Pelodiscus sinensis: one gene and its partner. The protein of the gene in region 1 purifies or fractionates together with the protein of each later gene. This does not show direct contact. Links are inferred from orthologs where the notes say so. Each region holds a gene or a part of one and is shown in the gene's direction. Other genes may lie near its edges. The genes, in order: TMPRSS6 and HJV.

Region 1 (7,932 bases):
CGATTATAACATTTATAACAGTGCTGGTGCTGTACTCGTACTTCCAGAGTAAATTAAAACCCCTTAAATTGTTGTATTTAACTTGGTAGGTTAAAGAGAACCCCAAAGTCAAAAGAAAGGAACTATAGGAGTAAACTGAGGCAGTCCATGGTATCTTGCTGAGAACTGACAACTCAAACCTGAAAGTATTAGGCCAGCTTGGGAAGTAAAACAGTTCAACAGTTACTGTGACCCTGGTTCCCCTGGCAACCACATTCCAAAAGGGCCTCACTTTGATAAGGCTGGTACCAAACAACCAAACAACCACACTGGATCGTTTTTACGGTTTGCTTTATTCCTAGGAAATAACCTTGGTTCCAAAGGAGCTAGCTGGCTTTTAGCTCAGAGAATAGAGACTCGTATGTCCATCAGCGAAAGACTGCTCTAGAAAGACCTTTACCAAGTTTTGCTAACCACCAACACCTCTGTGAAGTGCCAAGAACTGACTGTTGGCCAATGCTTCTCACTGCAAAAAGATCCCTCCATCTCGAAATGATCCTACCCCGATTGCTGATAAGCCTCTCTCTTCTGGTCCTGCTTTCCTACCTGCTGGACACCAGAACCACCAAAATATTACAGGGGGTGTGTCTAGACTACATGCCTCCTTCGACGGAGGCATGTAGATTAGCCAGATCGGAAGAGGGAAATGAAGCCGCGATTAAAATAATCGCGGCTTCATTTAAATTTAAATGGCTGCCCCGATCTGCCGATCAGCTGTTTGTCGGCAGATCGGGGCAGTCTGGACGCGATGCGCCGACAAAGAAGCCTTTCTTCATCGGCACAGGTAAGCCTCGTGAAACCAGGTTTACCTGTGCCGATGAAGAAAGGCTTCTTTGTCGGCGCATCGCGTCCAGACTGCCCCGATCTGCCGACAAACAGCTGATCGGCAGAGCGGGGCAGCCATTTAAATTTAAATGAAGCCGCGATTATTTTAATCGCGGCTTCATTTCCCTCTTCCGATCTGGCTAATCTACATGCCTCCGTCGAAGGAGGCATGTAGTCTAGACACACCCAGGGTGATGTGCTGGTAACCCCTCCCCTGCATGATGCTGAACCACGACTGTTTCAAGAAAAAAAAGAGGAAAAGTCTGCTCCTCTGACACCGCCAAAGGCCAAAGATTTCTGACTACAAAAGGACATTAAGAACTGACCTTGGTGAAAGAAGCGAAGTATTGTATATTGCCAAGGAGAAACTTGTAGGAGTGGTTTGGGTTTCTCCCTTTGATCTGGACTCTGTGCTTATGGACAGGTACCATCAGCATGTACCTGCCCTCCCTAATTTGGTTACTAATTATGATATGTTGTATGATGTTACTAAAATTATAGAACAGCCCCATCATAGAATTATATTGGGGATATTAATGATTATATTGCTTTTGCTTATTAAAAGTTTCATATTTGATTGTTGTTGTAAAAGATGTAGTAATAGAAATAGCTTTAATGTTTGTACTAATTATGTAATGTTTAATGAAAATAAAGGTTTAGAAAGGTAGTTGTGCTGTAAGCACAAAAGGGGGGATTGTGGAGGCAGGAAAAGGGAATAAGGGAATTTGTGTGCAGCCATCTTGGTCTTGTTAACAAGAGAGCAAGAGTCAGGCTAAGTCTGTGGCCTAACAACGCGAGATCTGTAATTAGACGCTGCCTTCGCCTCTCGCCTCCATACGGAGATAAGGATAGAATGCTGACTCTGGTAGGGACCTTGAGATAAGGAGCATCTGGGTGGAACTAAATAACTGTTAGCCATTAGTGTTTGTAATGGGAAGGAGACTAATTACTATTGTTATTATATTTAATAGACAGTATATAAACTGCTTCATAATTGCTTGTATTCGAAGATCTGCCTCGGTGAGGGGGGGGACTGCCCCCCTGTCCGAACCAGTTTTTCCCTTGCTGCAGCTCGTAATAAAACTGCCTCTGGCTACTTGTTGCTTACAAACTCAGAGTGAGGACAATGTTTTCTTCCACAATAGTTAAAGACACTGGGGGTCAAGTCATGTGAGAGACACTGACAAAGCTTTGCGTAGTTATTACCAGTGCTAATGGTTTGGATAGTGCTAGCCCCTGCCACCTACATAAATCTGTAAGGAACATTTTAATCTCCCCGGACATTCAGTATTGGGTTTAAAAGTAGCATCCTTCTACAAAAACACTTCAAAACTAAATTATATTACAAAGGGAAACAGCTGAGCTGCAATTCATTTGCAAATTCAATACAATCCAGTTAGGCCTGAATAAAGATCTCAATTGGTTAACACATTACAAAGGCCACTTCCCCACTCTTGATATTCACATCTCCCTATCAGTGAAAGAGACACCTCCACCCTGATTTGATTAGCCTCCTTATCACTTGATAAGTAATTCCTTTCTTTTGTGGTACTTTCAACAAAATTACCTCCTCTGTCATCATTTCCACTCCAATTCATCTGATGAAATAGCCTTTTACTCATGAAAGTGTATGCCCTAATAAATATGTTAGTCTCCAAGGGTACATCTGCACTGTGGGCTAGAGTTAAGATATGCAACATCAGCTATGTTAATTGTGTAGCTGAAGTCAAAATATCTTAACTCAGCTTTTGCTGTTGTCTACACAGCAGGAGGTTGGAGGAAGAATACTCTTCCTTCGACTTCCTTTACTCCTTGTGAAATGAGGGTTACAAAAGTCGGAGTAAGAAGCCCGTTATTTTGAAATTATTTTGAAATAAAGGGCTTGCGGTGTAGATGTGCACTCTGTTATTTTGAAATAATGTGAGTTATTTCTAAATAAGCATGAGGTGTAGACATAGCCTTGAGTGCCACAGGACTCCTGGTTGTTTTTGCAGCTACAGACTAACACGGCTGCCTCTCTGAGACTTTGTTTTTTGTCTCTCCTTTGTCCAGCCCACTGCCCCAGCAAGAGACTCCTCTCCCTCACCACCTCAGAACAAAAAACAGGACTATGTAGCACTTTAAAGACTAACAAGATGTTTTATTAGGTGATGAGCTTTCGTGGGCCAGACCCACCTTCCTCAGATCAAATAGTGGAAGAAAATTGGCACAACCATATATACCAAAGGATACAATAAAAAAATGAACACATATGAAAAGGACACATCAAATTTCAGAACAGAAGGAGGAGGGGGAGGGAGGTAAATAGCCAAGCCCTTCGATACAACTGCATCTGCTCTAATCCCACTGACAGACCAGAAACTTCAGGATCTCTACCCAAGCATTTATAAACCTAAACTACCCATCCGGAGTAATAAAAAACAAATCGAAAGACCCAGACGAATACCTAGAAACCATCTACTTCAAGACAGACCCAAGAAAACCAACAATAGAACACCACTTGTCATCACCTACAGCCCCCAACTTAAACCTGTCCAACACATTATCAATAAACTACAACCTATACTGGAACAGGATACTATACTCCGAGAGGCTCTGGGAGACAGACCCATAGTCTCCTAGGGTATGTCTACACTACCGAACTAGCTAGTCCGTGCCGCGTCTAGCCGCGCGGCACGGGGTTCAAACTAGCCGGCATTTAAAAATGGCGCCGGCCGGCTTCATGCAAATGAAGCCCGGGAAATTCAAATCCCGGGCTTCATTTGCAACTGCGGATGACTACATTACCTACATTAGTTTGAACTAGCGGGGTAGTGTAGACATACCCCTATAGACAGCCACCTAAGCTCAAAATGATTCTTACCAACAACCACAGGACATACCACACTAATACCAACCCTGGAACCTTCCCTTGCAACAAACCCCGTTGCCAGCTTTGTCCACACATTCACTCTGCTGATACCATTATTGGACCTAACCAAGTGAGTTATAAGATCAAGAACACATATTCCTGCTCATCCAGAAATATAATTTATGCTATCATGTGTCAAAAGTGTCCGTCTGCTATGTACATTGGACAAACGTCTCAGACACTTCGCCAAAGGATCAATGCCCACAAAACAGATATTAGACAGGATCACAAAGAAAAAACAGTTTCTTGCCATTTCAACCAGAAAGGGATTGTCTCAACGATTTGATTACCTGCATCCTGCTTCAAAGACCTTTTAACACCAGACTTGAAAGAGAATCCTCTGAACTGTCATTCATGCTTAAATTCGACACTTTACACCTCGGTCTAAACAAAGACATTAATTATCTTACCCTTTACAAAGATAGCTTCCCCAATTATCACCGCTAATATCATTAGCTCACAGACATTTACCTCCCCTCCCCATCATCCTTCTGTTCTGAAATGTGATTTGTCCTTTTCATATGTGTTCATTTTTTTTAATTGTATCCTTTGGTATATATGGTTGTGACTATTTTCTTTCACTATTTGATCTGAGGAAGTGGGTCTGGCCCACGAAAGCTCCTCACCTAATAAACCATCTTGTTAGTCTTTAAAGTGCTACATCGTCCTGTATTTTGCTTCAGCTACACCAGACTAACACGGCTACATCTCTATCTCCTCAGAACAGCCGGTGCCATTTTGCCTTTATTGCCACTGGGACCAATGGAGGTAACTAAGACAGAAAGCAGTTGCTGTGCAACTTGTTGCCTCCCAGGGGAATCTGTGATCCAGCTGCACTTGCCTTCCACGTTAGGCTTCCCAAGGGGCAGGAGGATTGTTACCCTGGGCTGTTTACAGCATCATCTCTTCACTGCCTTTAGATCCAGTCTGTTAGCAAACCTCCCTTCACTCAGAGTCAGCCTCCATTAGAGAAAGCTGTGGCTCTCCGGGGCATGCTCAGCCCTCTGTAGGGCCGGACAGGGCAAAGACCAAAACAAAGGGACATGGCCTCAGCTTATTGATTGCCAGAGAGGCCTTGGGCTTGAGTAAACACGTCTCTACCAATGTGTGCGTGCCCAGCCACATGCACAGCTGCAGGTTTCAAAGGTAGGTCTGTAGCTCTGGGGAAACCCCAGTGCCTAGAATTGATCTGCTAGCAAATTGAGGCTCTTTTTGATCAGTTTGTGGTTCTTGGTGCGGCTGTTGTTTTGGAGGACTCCTTTGAAGGTGGAGTAAAGGCCCTCACTCCTTCCTCCTGCCCCCCTCCTGGGTGGGGGATACCCACTGGAAAACATTAGCCAAAAGGAGACCACAGCGAAGCAGAAGAGCAAGGGTTGGTGTATTCGGATCTCTGCCGCATGTGAGAGGCCTGTAGGAGACAGGAAGTGGAGGTGTTCATGGATTCATTGTTGTCTCTGTGCCAGCTCTTGTTAAGTTAAATGTTTTCCATTGAATTGCTTTTTCTTCTTAAACACTCTTTACATGTGTCTGTATTGAGGGGCAAAGTTGTGGATTGGGAGGGGTTGGTATCGGAGTGAGTAGGGAATGCTGGCTGCCCTTTGTTGTTCACACACATGCTTCAGCCCCCTAGGGACCTCCTCTAACATGCACCCCTCATCCCTGCACCATAGCACAGACCGGCACAGGCCCATGCGATGCACATAACTCACTAACCAATGCATGCGCAGACAGAGCACCCTGGATATACGCTTTGGAACACGCTCATACACACTCAGGCGCTCTCTAACCCCCCTGCACACTCCCACACATTCACATTCATGCATGCTCATACCTCACTCATCAGTGAAGGAAATATGCAAATCCTTTGGCCTCTGCTAGAATGTTGAAAGGTTATGGGTGATAGGATTTTAACAGGGCCTAATAAGGGGCTGCAGAGGGAAAGCGGCCCAGGAGCATCCAGTCTTGGCAGGCTGTGGTACTTAGCAGAGAATCATAGAAAGGGAGTAGGCAGGAATAAGTCGGACAATCAGGTGTTGTGAGAGGAGCAGTAAAGATGGCCATGTGGCAGGTAGAGAACTGAATTACCTTGCGGGGTGCTAATATACGCCAGAGGGAAGTAGGGTGAGGTAGGGTAGACACAAGATACCTTACAGACCACCTGGTGTTGGCCACTGTCAGCAGACAGGCTACTGGGCTAGATGGACCTTTGGTCTGACCCAGTACGGCCATTCTTATGTTCTTATGTACAGTGGGGTATGCAGCATTTGACAGCTGTTACCCTGCATATTCTTGGAGCTCAGTGGTCTGCATTGCTGATTGCATTCAGTGACCTTTGGGGAGGAAACATGGGCATGCTGGGGAACACACTGAAAAGTTAGGATGTACAGACAGTAGAGGCAGAGAGCTAACAGGAGGGTGGTTAGGGCATGATCCTAAAGGTTTCACTCTGCTTCTGCCTAAGTAAATAACTGAATAAACTCCCATGGGATTTCAACAGAGTTTTGTGTGTGAAAGCAATAGCAAGGTCCTTGGGATCTGGCATGGATAATAAGGAGAGGTACAGATAAGAAGATATGGATGGCAAAGGGTACACAGGAAGGGAGTGAGGGATGTACTGAGAATCCAGCCTGATGCCTGGTCTGCTGCTGGACTAGATGCCCATGATGGAGGCTGAGGAGCAACAGGAAGATGCAAACACCCCATCTGAGGATGAAACCAAGAGGAAGGCTCGTGACTGCCTGCGCTATGCACCCCTCTGGATGGTCCTTGTTTTGTTGGCTGGAGCTGGAGCACTGAGTTGGTATTTCCTAGGTAACAATTATAAGGCGTTTTGTTCTTTATGCTAATGCTGACCTGGCCTAGTAACGAGGAAGCCAATGTAGATGCTAGCTAAGTTCCTTCCCCCAAAGAGCCCTCTGTTCTCCACGCCCGTGGTTAATCTGTCTGTCTTTTGTTGTCAGACTACAGACCACGGCACTTGGAATCAACTGTTCTGCAGTTCTACTCAGGCAGCCTCCGGATCCTCAATTATCAGTACTCCCTGGATCTTGGACGGCCAGAATCCAGAGCCTTCTGGACTGAGTCAGCAAAGCTACAGAAGATGGTGAGGATGGTTTCTTATGTGGGGTCAGGACTGAGGCAGTTCTGTGCGTGGGGGAATGGGTCCTGGGTGCTTCTGCAAATGGAATCTGAGGTGGATTATACTTCAAGCAGAGAGGGATGGAGCACTGGGCGGGTCCCAAGGGAAGTCTGCTGTTGTATTGTTGCTGGGTAGTTATCAGATAGCATTCTTGTTACAGCTAAGAGAACTCATTCGTGTCACGGACTTGGATCCATATTACAATTCCAGCACAGTTTATGCCTTTGGGTAAGTGTTATGTCCACATTAATTTGCTTTTCAGGACTCTGTCTTCCCTCTCCTATGTGAAAGTTACACCTAGGTTGTGATCTTGCTCAGCAGCCAGCTGTCTTGCTGACAAGAGCTGCTGCAACCTCCATTCTTACTCCAAGGGGGCTTTGGATGAGAGCTGATCAAAAATGGAATTTCCATCCCACAGGAAATCCTGAGAATTCAACATTTATTTTCAGCCCAAACTGAAATATGGAAAAGTCCAGAAAAAAATGAAATAGGTATTATTAAAGGGTTTACTTTTGGACATGTTCTACTGAAACAATGTTCTAGCATTCTTGAATTGAAATGTTTTGTCTTGTACTATCCACATAAAATGAAACAGCACAGAGACAGACCATGGTACACCCTGGGAAATGTAGTCCTGCAAGGGACAAGGCCCATAAAGGAGAACGGAAGTAGAAAGGATCTGGAACTACAACTGCCACAGAGCTCCAAAGTGGCTCAGGCAGATGCAGAGATTAAGGTCAACCTCCTCCCAGTATTCTATTTTTATTTTCCCCAATGGTAAATTACATCAGCACTGATCTTTGCTCACAGAAAATTTCTTTTTCAACAAGCCCCCTATTTCCAGCAAGAAGTTGCTCTCCAGGTTGGTCCATTTTCTCTGTCCTTCAGCTGACAAATTATGGTGGCTGTGATTGCCTGTCATACATAAGTGGTCTCTACACAGAAGCTCCCTCTGATCAACTGAACAGAGTCTAGCATTAATCACTTTTCATTACTGGAAGTTGGAACATGGAGCCTT
Region 2 (7,427 bases), on another chromosome or scaffold:
GCACCTCACCTTCTGGGTGCCCTTCATCCCGCCTCTCCCAGGGTGGCCGGGACTTGAACCGGTGTCTCTGACCACTTTCTATGTAAATAGATTGGCAGTCGCAAATTTCCTAGTGGATTTAATAGAATCTCTAGCTTTCCTCCCTTACGGGAAAATAATGGTGAAACACCTTAGTTAATGATACTGTGTTTCATCCACGCGTGGATTTTTTTCCATCCATGTGTGGAATAAAATTTTTATGGACACAGAGGCATGTGTGAATGTGCACCACCAACAGATACAAAAAAACCTAGCTGTGGGCACTCTGTTAATCAGTTGAGCAGCATTTGAATCTCTCCTGAGCACATGCATAAGGGGTCACTGTTGTATTGCCCATTAATGACCAGTCTTGCTCTGGTTCATTAAGGGACTCTCACAGGCAATATGCAAAATGTGTAAAACCTCCATGCAAAACTTAACATGGCTCAGCATCTGCAAAACTTCCTGGCTTACCCCGGGAAGGTCCACTCACCACTTAGTTAATATGACAGTAGCCTCTAGAGCAGTGTTTCCCAAACGGTGCTCCGTAGAACCCCAGGGTTCCGCGAAGTGAAAGTAACGGTTCCGCAAGAACCTGATCACCTCCCCCCCTTAAAGAGACAGAGGCGTCAGCATCTTCTCTGATTTCCCACTGGCACCTTCCCTCCCCCGCTGCCACTCTGCGTTTCCAAAGCCCACTCAGGACATGCAGGATGGCATTTTGCGCCCCCCCCCCCCCTCAGTGGCAGGTATTTTTTATTTGCTCGACACATTTTCCTGGTGGTGATTGATTTTTATTTTATTTTTTTATTTTTTGCTTGACAAATTTTCCCTGGCTGTAGGGGTTCCTCGAAATTCTTCTGAGTTTAAAAGGGTTCCGTGGTCAAATAAAATTGAGAAACACTGCCCTAGAGGCTGCTGCCTGAAATCACGACCCCATCTTGCCAGGTGCTGAGCACACATGCCAAAGGAGAAAGCCCCTGTTCGGAAGAATTTGTGGCCTAAGGCCAAGACAGACAAAGGGTGGGATAGAAGGGAAGGGTTTTCCCATCCTCACAGAGCTAGGAATAGACCCCAGTTCTACTTGGTTCTTGTTGAGTGTTCTATCCACTGGGTAACACTGCCTCTTTCTGGTTAGCACTGGGCGGAAATGGGATTGTAAGAGAAATCCTGCTAGCTTGAAATTTCTTCCCTTCTGAAACAGTCTGAAAACACTGATTTAAAACAAAAAAATGTCCTGGAAAAAACAAATTCCAAAATAGTGGCAAGTCAGGAACATTCAAATGTTCCCTGCCGATTGTCAACCTTTGAAAAGCCTGTTTCACGTATATACGAAAAGTCTCATTCGTTCCGTTTGAAATGGAAACATCAAAATATTCCCTTCTGAAAACATCGAAGTCAGAAATGTTGACAGTATCAAAACGCCTTGTTTCATTTTTTTTGAAAGGGGGATTTCAATCTTCCCCCCCCCCCCCCTACATGGGATTTGGTATAAATCCATAGAAAGTTGTGGGGATCTCAGTGAAAATGGAAACTTGTCATCCATTTTTTGAGGGGGGAAAAAAAAGTCAATCAGCTCTACTAGTAGCTTCCAAACTTACCAATCCAAAATAAGTGTCTTTCACCAACCTTCCCATATACTAGTCAGTCCCTCAACATACACCCTGGGGCCTAGTAGACAGACACTGGACTGGAATGCAACAGACCTGGATTCTCTTCCACAGGCCTCTTGGGTGACCTTTGGCAAGTCACTTTGCTGCTCCGTGCCTCAGTTTCCCCACCAGTAAGATGGGAGTAGTGATATTGACCCTGTTTTGTAAAAAGCTTTGAGCCCCATGGCTGAAAAGTCATTTAGAAGAGCTGTTGTTGTTGCATTGTGTTGTACTCCAAAGGCCAACACAGCTGGAGCAAGGTGGGGAGGCTGAGGAATCTCCATGAATCGAGGTTTTGCACAACCGGTTGAACAAATCTAGCGATGATCTAGGTTTACTTGGAGGCTGGACTTAATGACTTCTCACTAGCCCTGCCAGCCCTACGTTTCTGTGATGGAGTAAGTGCGCCCCGGCTCCTTTGGCTCTTCGCTGGGGAGGTGCGGCAGGTTCGTGGCATTGCCCGGGGTGGGAGGAATGAGGATTGTTAACACTCGCCACGGACAGCTCGTGTGCTCACGTGGAAATTTGCACCCGTGGAAATTTGCAGACGTGGCCTGCTCAACCGCTCAGTGTCACTGAGGGATGTAAAATCCTGCTTCATCAGTGAACTTACGTTAAACGTTATGTGTAACGAGTTACCTGCTTAAACAGGGATGAGAAGGGGGGGACCTGGCCAGAGTGGCCCCCCCCATGGGCAGGGGTTGCTCTGGACGGGCTATAGTACCCCTGCCCATGGTGCACTGCTCCGACCGGGCCGGGCCTGGGAAGGGTGATGCCGACCGTTTAACCATTCACATCCTGAGTGTGCAGATCTGGACAGTGCCGAGCTCACTGCCTGTCTCCCACCGGGAGCGAGTGACTATTTCTGGGGCTCCTCTCCGCACCATGTGCCTGTGCCTCTTGGCTGGGTCATCGTCGGGCTAAATTTAGTCCCATCTATTTCAACGCCTGTCCCCTGCGCTGCGTGCCTTCAACAGGAGGGGGACGTTGCTGCGTGACAGTGGTAACGAGGGGGTGGGGAGGCCCCCAGATTTCTGGCCCCAGGCATGGAGTCCCTGGGTGCAGCCTGGCTCCTCTTGCTGCCGGAGACGGAGCCTTCTCCTGGCACGTACCCTCCAAGGAGCAGGTGTAGGGGCCTGGGAACGAGCGCCGCAGCCCCAGGTGGATGGCACAGGCTGCCTGGCTGGAATCTCCCTGCTGCTGCCCTGCTTCAAGGTTTGCTGGTAAGAACGCCGGGCTGGTCGTCGAAAAGCAGGTGCCAGCAACCCGCCCGCAGGGCGCCTCTGTGGCTGTCCCCCCTCAGCCCTTTGCTGAGGAAGCCCCGGGGGCTGGGTAAACCCCCTCCGCTGGCGGGAAGCGGACCCGGAGATTGTGGGACTTGTCCGCAGGAAGCTGCCAGCGCCCGAGTGAGGAGGGGATATCCCTGGGGCTTTCTCCAAAGGGTGGAGAGCGGGAAGGGCCGTGAGGTCTGTTGGTCTCCCGGAGCCTGTGCGCTGACCATGGGCGGTGGGTGAAGGTAGCCCCCGGCCCCTTCTGCCCAGGCCTTGCCCTCGTGGGAGCCAAACCACCAGATTGTGGGGAGGGCGGGTGGCCTGAGCCTCCCCAGCCCGGGAGCACAGGGAGGGCGGGCGCTGAGGGGCAGCAACCCTCCGCCCCCAGTGTGCCTGCAGTAGACGGTCTGGGGGCAGAGTCTGGGCGGGGCCAGACTGGCGGTTTGGGAAGGCAACGCCTCCCCCTGCCTATGAGACCCGCTTCCCCTCAGGGATGTCAGCCTGGCCGGGGGAGGCCGGGATGGGGTCTGCTGGGTGGGCAGGCCTGGCAGGCCGAGGGGAGGAAAGGGCGTGTGCAGCGAATGGTGATGCACAGGCCGCGGATGGGGAGGGAGCGTGTGGGAACACCTGTGCCCCGGCGGGAAAGGCAGGGGCACGTGCTGAGTTGGGGACAGTCGCAGAGGTGCCGTGGCTGTGGGCGGGGAGAGGCGGGGATCTGTGGCCAGTGCGGGGGTGAGGCAGTGGATGGAGGCGGGTCGGTGCGAAGGGGATGGGGAGGGCCCGCGTTGCGGAGGAGGTGCGAGGGGAACGCAGGCGCACGGGCATGGTTAGAGCTCTAGGGATGTAAAATCCTGGTTAGTCCATTAACCGGTTAAGCAGGATCCTGGGGGGGGGGGGGGGGAAGCTTCTTGTCCTGGCCCCCCATGGTTGGAGCTGCTCTTGATGGTCTCCCCACGCTTATGGCTTCCAGCTGCCACCCCTGCACGTGGGGGGCCAGAAGCAGGAGCCGGCAGCCCCAGCTCTGGGAGTGGGGGGGGGGGCGGCTTCTGCTCCCAGCCCCCCTGGAGCAGCCCTCCACCCACAGTGGGTCCTGGACAAGGGGGGCTGCTCCCAGGTACCGGTTAACCAGTAGCCAGTAGGTGTCACCCATTAAGGGTGATTCTCCCTGGGCAACCCGTTAACCGGTTACCCGTTCGCAGCCCTGCCCTGCACCCGACGATCTTCTGGCCTTCGGCTCTAGGACTCCTACGCTCTCCGCCCGGCCAGGCGGGACGACGGCAAAACCCGGGCCCCATCACGGGGCCGTTTGGCTCCTTTTTGGTGGCGAGCGATGGGTTGATCATTAGCTCCTGCCGCGAGCTCAGATGCTCCCGTGTTGTTTACCGGCTTAGTCAAACACCCCAAAGTTCAAGCGCGGTTGCAACAGGCAGAGCTGGAGAAAGCGCCTGCAAGAGGCGGGCGGCTTCTGGGGCACGTGGCGCGAGGGAGTCAGAGGAGAACAAGCCGGCGGCTCGTTCAGACCCAGCACTTGCCCTGAGGGACAGAGGTACAAAGGGAGTCTCTTGCGGCACAGGGCCGGCGGGGGGGGTGGGGGGGGCGGAAGAGGGGCTGTGTCTCAGCCGCAGTCCAAGGGCCTCCTGACTGAACCGAGTCTGATTTTTGTAGGGGCGCTAGGTGAGCCCCTCCCCCCATCTTGCAAACCTGGGCGACAGGGCCGTCTTTACCCATACGCAGCTGCGTAGGGCACCTGAAAATTTGAGGCACCGCTGGGTCTTAATGTCCACCCTCTCGCTTCTTCCTGTCCCTGTGGTTCTGCTTCCTCCGGAGAGGATCCAGTTCGCTGGAAAGTAACAAAGCCAGGTAGAGCTACTCGCAGAGCCTGGGAAAGAGCCAGTCAGCATCAACGACACCGTTTCCCACGCATCTGCCAACCCCAGGTCTAGCCTGTCCGTTGCCGAACTGACTATGCGGGTCGACAGGCCCCGAGTTAAGAATTTGCTTTAAACCTCTTTCCTTGGCGTGTGGCTGAAGATGATCAAATCCCAACTGTTGTGGCTGCTGTTGGGCCTCGGGGCACCAGCTTCGCAGTCCGGCGTAGGCCCCATGCACCCTACGGCCGGGGAAGTGACGGTCTTGTAGGCAAGTCAACCCAGTGATTGCTCAGAGATCACCAGGCCTGGGGGCGGGTCAGGGATCTTCCCCCTCCCATTTCCACAGCTAAGCGGAGGCATGATCCTTCCACCCGATCAGCGCTGGGCGAGCCAGGCTAGCGAGTGGGCCACCCGTGCGGCCTCCATCACAGGGGCTGCAGGATTGTCGCCACCAACACGGTCTCCCAGGCCAGGGCGGTTTTGCTCCCTGCGCGTGCAGAGTTTGCAGGGGGCGCCGATGGAACCGTCGCCACACTGTGATTGGTTACAGAGGGAGCACACAGTCGGTGCTGGGCGCGATCCGCCCGCCTCTCCCTGCACGTGCCCTGGCTTTGCGTGTGTGTCCCCTTAGTAACGGCGGTAGGAAAAAGCTACGCGGGCAGAAACCCGTGGAATCTGGCAGCCCTGCGCGTTAGCTACAGTAAACGAAACGTCTTACAGGCCAGACCTAGAACCCCGATGGGCTGCCTGTGGCCTGCAGGCTGCCCAGTGCAGCACAAGATTCTGCTAGAAGGCTTTCCTTAGAGCTGTGACAGGTACTGGCTGGAGCAAGTAAAGAAAAGTTATTTATTAGTTCCCAGAATAGAAGAACTAGAGGACACCAAATGAAATTAATGGGTAGCAGGTTTTAAACTAATAAAAGAAAGTTCTTCTTCACACAGCGCATAGTCAACCTGTGGAACTCCTTGCCTGAGGAGGCTGTGAAGGCTAGGACTATAACAGAGTTTATAGAGAAGCCAGATAATTTCATGGAGGTTAGGTCCATACAAGGCTATTAGCCAGGGGATAGAAATGGTGCCCCGGCCTCTGTTTGTCAGAGGCCGGAGAGGGATGGCAGGAGACAAATCGCTTGATCATTGTCTTCGGTCAATCCTCTCTGGGGCATCTGGTGCTGGCCACTGTCGGCAGACAGGCTACTGGGCTAGATGGACCTTTGGTCTGACCCAGTACGGCCGTTCTTATGTTTGTACTGGAAGGCACTTGACTGCCGCCTCTCCCACCTGCTACCTTCCTGCTCGGGATCCAAGTCCGTCGGCAGCATGGTCGTCAGGACAGGCAGGGAAGGTGTCCCTACCTCTGTTTGCCAGAAGCTTTGTAACAGGTGACAGGGGAGGGATCATTCGATGATTCCCTGTTTTGTTCATTCCCCCGGGGCGCCTGGCATTGGCCACTGTCGGCAGACAGGAGGCTGGGCTAAATCAGGGCCAGCCCACAACATTTTGGCATGTGAGGCGGGGAGCTCAAATGACGCCCCCATGCCCCTTCACTTGGGCCAAAACTTTGAAAGGTCTCACTTCTGCCTTCTTCCTGTTCTTCTGCTCTCACGGGACTGCTCTGCTACGTACCCCAACAAAGGAGAACTAACAGCAGCGGGCACAATTTTCTACACTCTGGGTCCTATGGCGTTCCCCCCCCAGTCTGGCACCTGAGGCAGCTGCCTCAGTTCCCCTCATGGCAAGGCCAGCTCTGGGCTAGATGGACCTTTGGTCTGGCCCAGCCTGGTGGCTCTTATGATCAGCGTAGGTAGATTTCACCACATGGTTTCTGGAGGAAACTGCTGCTGTGCTTGCATGCGGCGCGTGGTCTGTGGCCCTCCAGGAGCAAATTGGGAGCGGCTAGCAAGCCATGCCAGGACTCAGGAGAGCCGGAGTCTGTATTCCTGACTCCGCAAGTGGCTGGTTGCTTTCTCTTTCTCTGCCAGAGTACATCTAAAGCATGTGGCTCTGTCGACGGAGCCATGTAGATTTGTTTGTTCGGCAAAGGGAAATGAAGCCGCAATTTAAATAATCGCGGCTTCATTTAAATTTAAATGGCTGCTGCGCTGAGCCAACAAACAGCTGATCGTCGGCTCAGCGCGCTAGTCTGGACACTTCCCTGCCGACATGAAAGCCCTTTATCGACCTCCCCAGTAAACCTCATCCTATGAGGCATAACGGGGAGGTCGATGAAGGGCTTTCAGGTCGGCGTGGGAGCATCCAGACTAGTGCGCTGAGCTGACAAACAGCTGATCAGCAGTTTGTCGGCTCAGCGTGGCAGCCATTTAAATTTAAATGAAGCCGTGATTATTTAAATCGCGGCTTCATTTCCCTTTGCCGATCAGCCTAATCTACATGGCTCCGTCAACGGAGCCATGTAGTTTAGATGTACCCTGGCCGAGAAAGAGAAAGCAACCAGCCACTTGCGGATTTAAATGAAGCCACGATTATTTAAATCGCGGCTTCATTTCCCTTTGCCGATCAGCCTAATCTACATGGCTCCATCGATGGAGCCATGTAGTTTAGACACACCCCCAGTGTCCCACCATTTGTAAAGCAGATAACCCTGCCTATCTCTGT

The links.
Region 2: the proteins of TMPRSS6 (region 1) and HJV purify together in Homo sapiens (co-immunoprecipitation; 3 studies listed by IntAct). This does not show direct contact. The link is inferred for Pelodiscus sinensis from reciprocal best matches to the Homo sapiens genes TMPRSS6 and HJV.

What each region holds. Positions count from the first base shown.
Region 1 is NC_134711.1:92,947,628-92,955,559, forward strand, and holds the start of TMPRSS6 (transmembrane protease serine 6), read left to right. Parts: upstream 1-4,896; 5' UTR 4,897-4,921; intron 4,922-4,926; exon of another isoform or gene 4,927-5,205; intron 5,206-6,429; coding exon 6,430-6,586; intron 6,587-6,735; coding exon 6,736-6,878; intron 6,879-7,074; coding exon 7,075-7,142; intron 7,143-7,932. UniProt on the Homo sapiens protein: Membrane-bound serine protease. Through the cleavage of cell surface hemojuvelin (HJV), a regulator of the expression of the iron absorption-regulating hormone hepicidin/HAMP, plays a role in iron homeostasis.
Region 2 is NC_134734.1:20,002,115-20,009,541, reverse strand, and holds the start of HJV (hemojuvelin), read left to right. Parts: upstream 1-4,424; 5' UTR 4,425-4,487; intron 4,488-7,427. UniProt on the Homo sapiens protein: Acts as a bone morphogenetic protein (BMP) coreceptor. Through enhancement of BMP signaling regulates hepcidin (HAMP) expression and regulates iron homeostasis.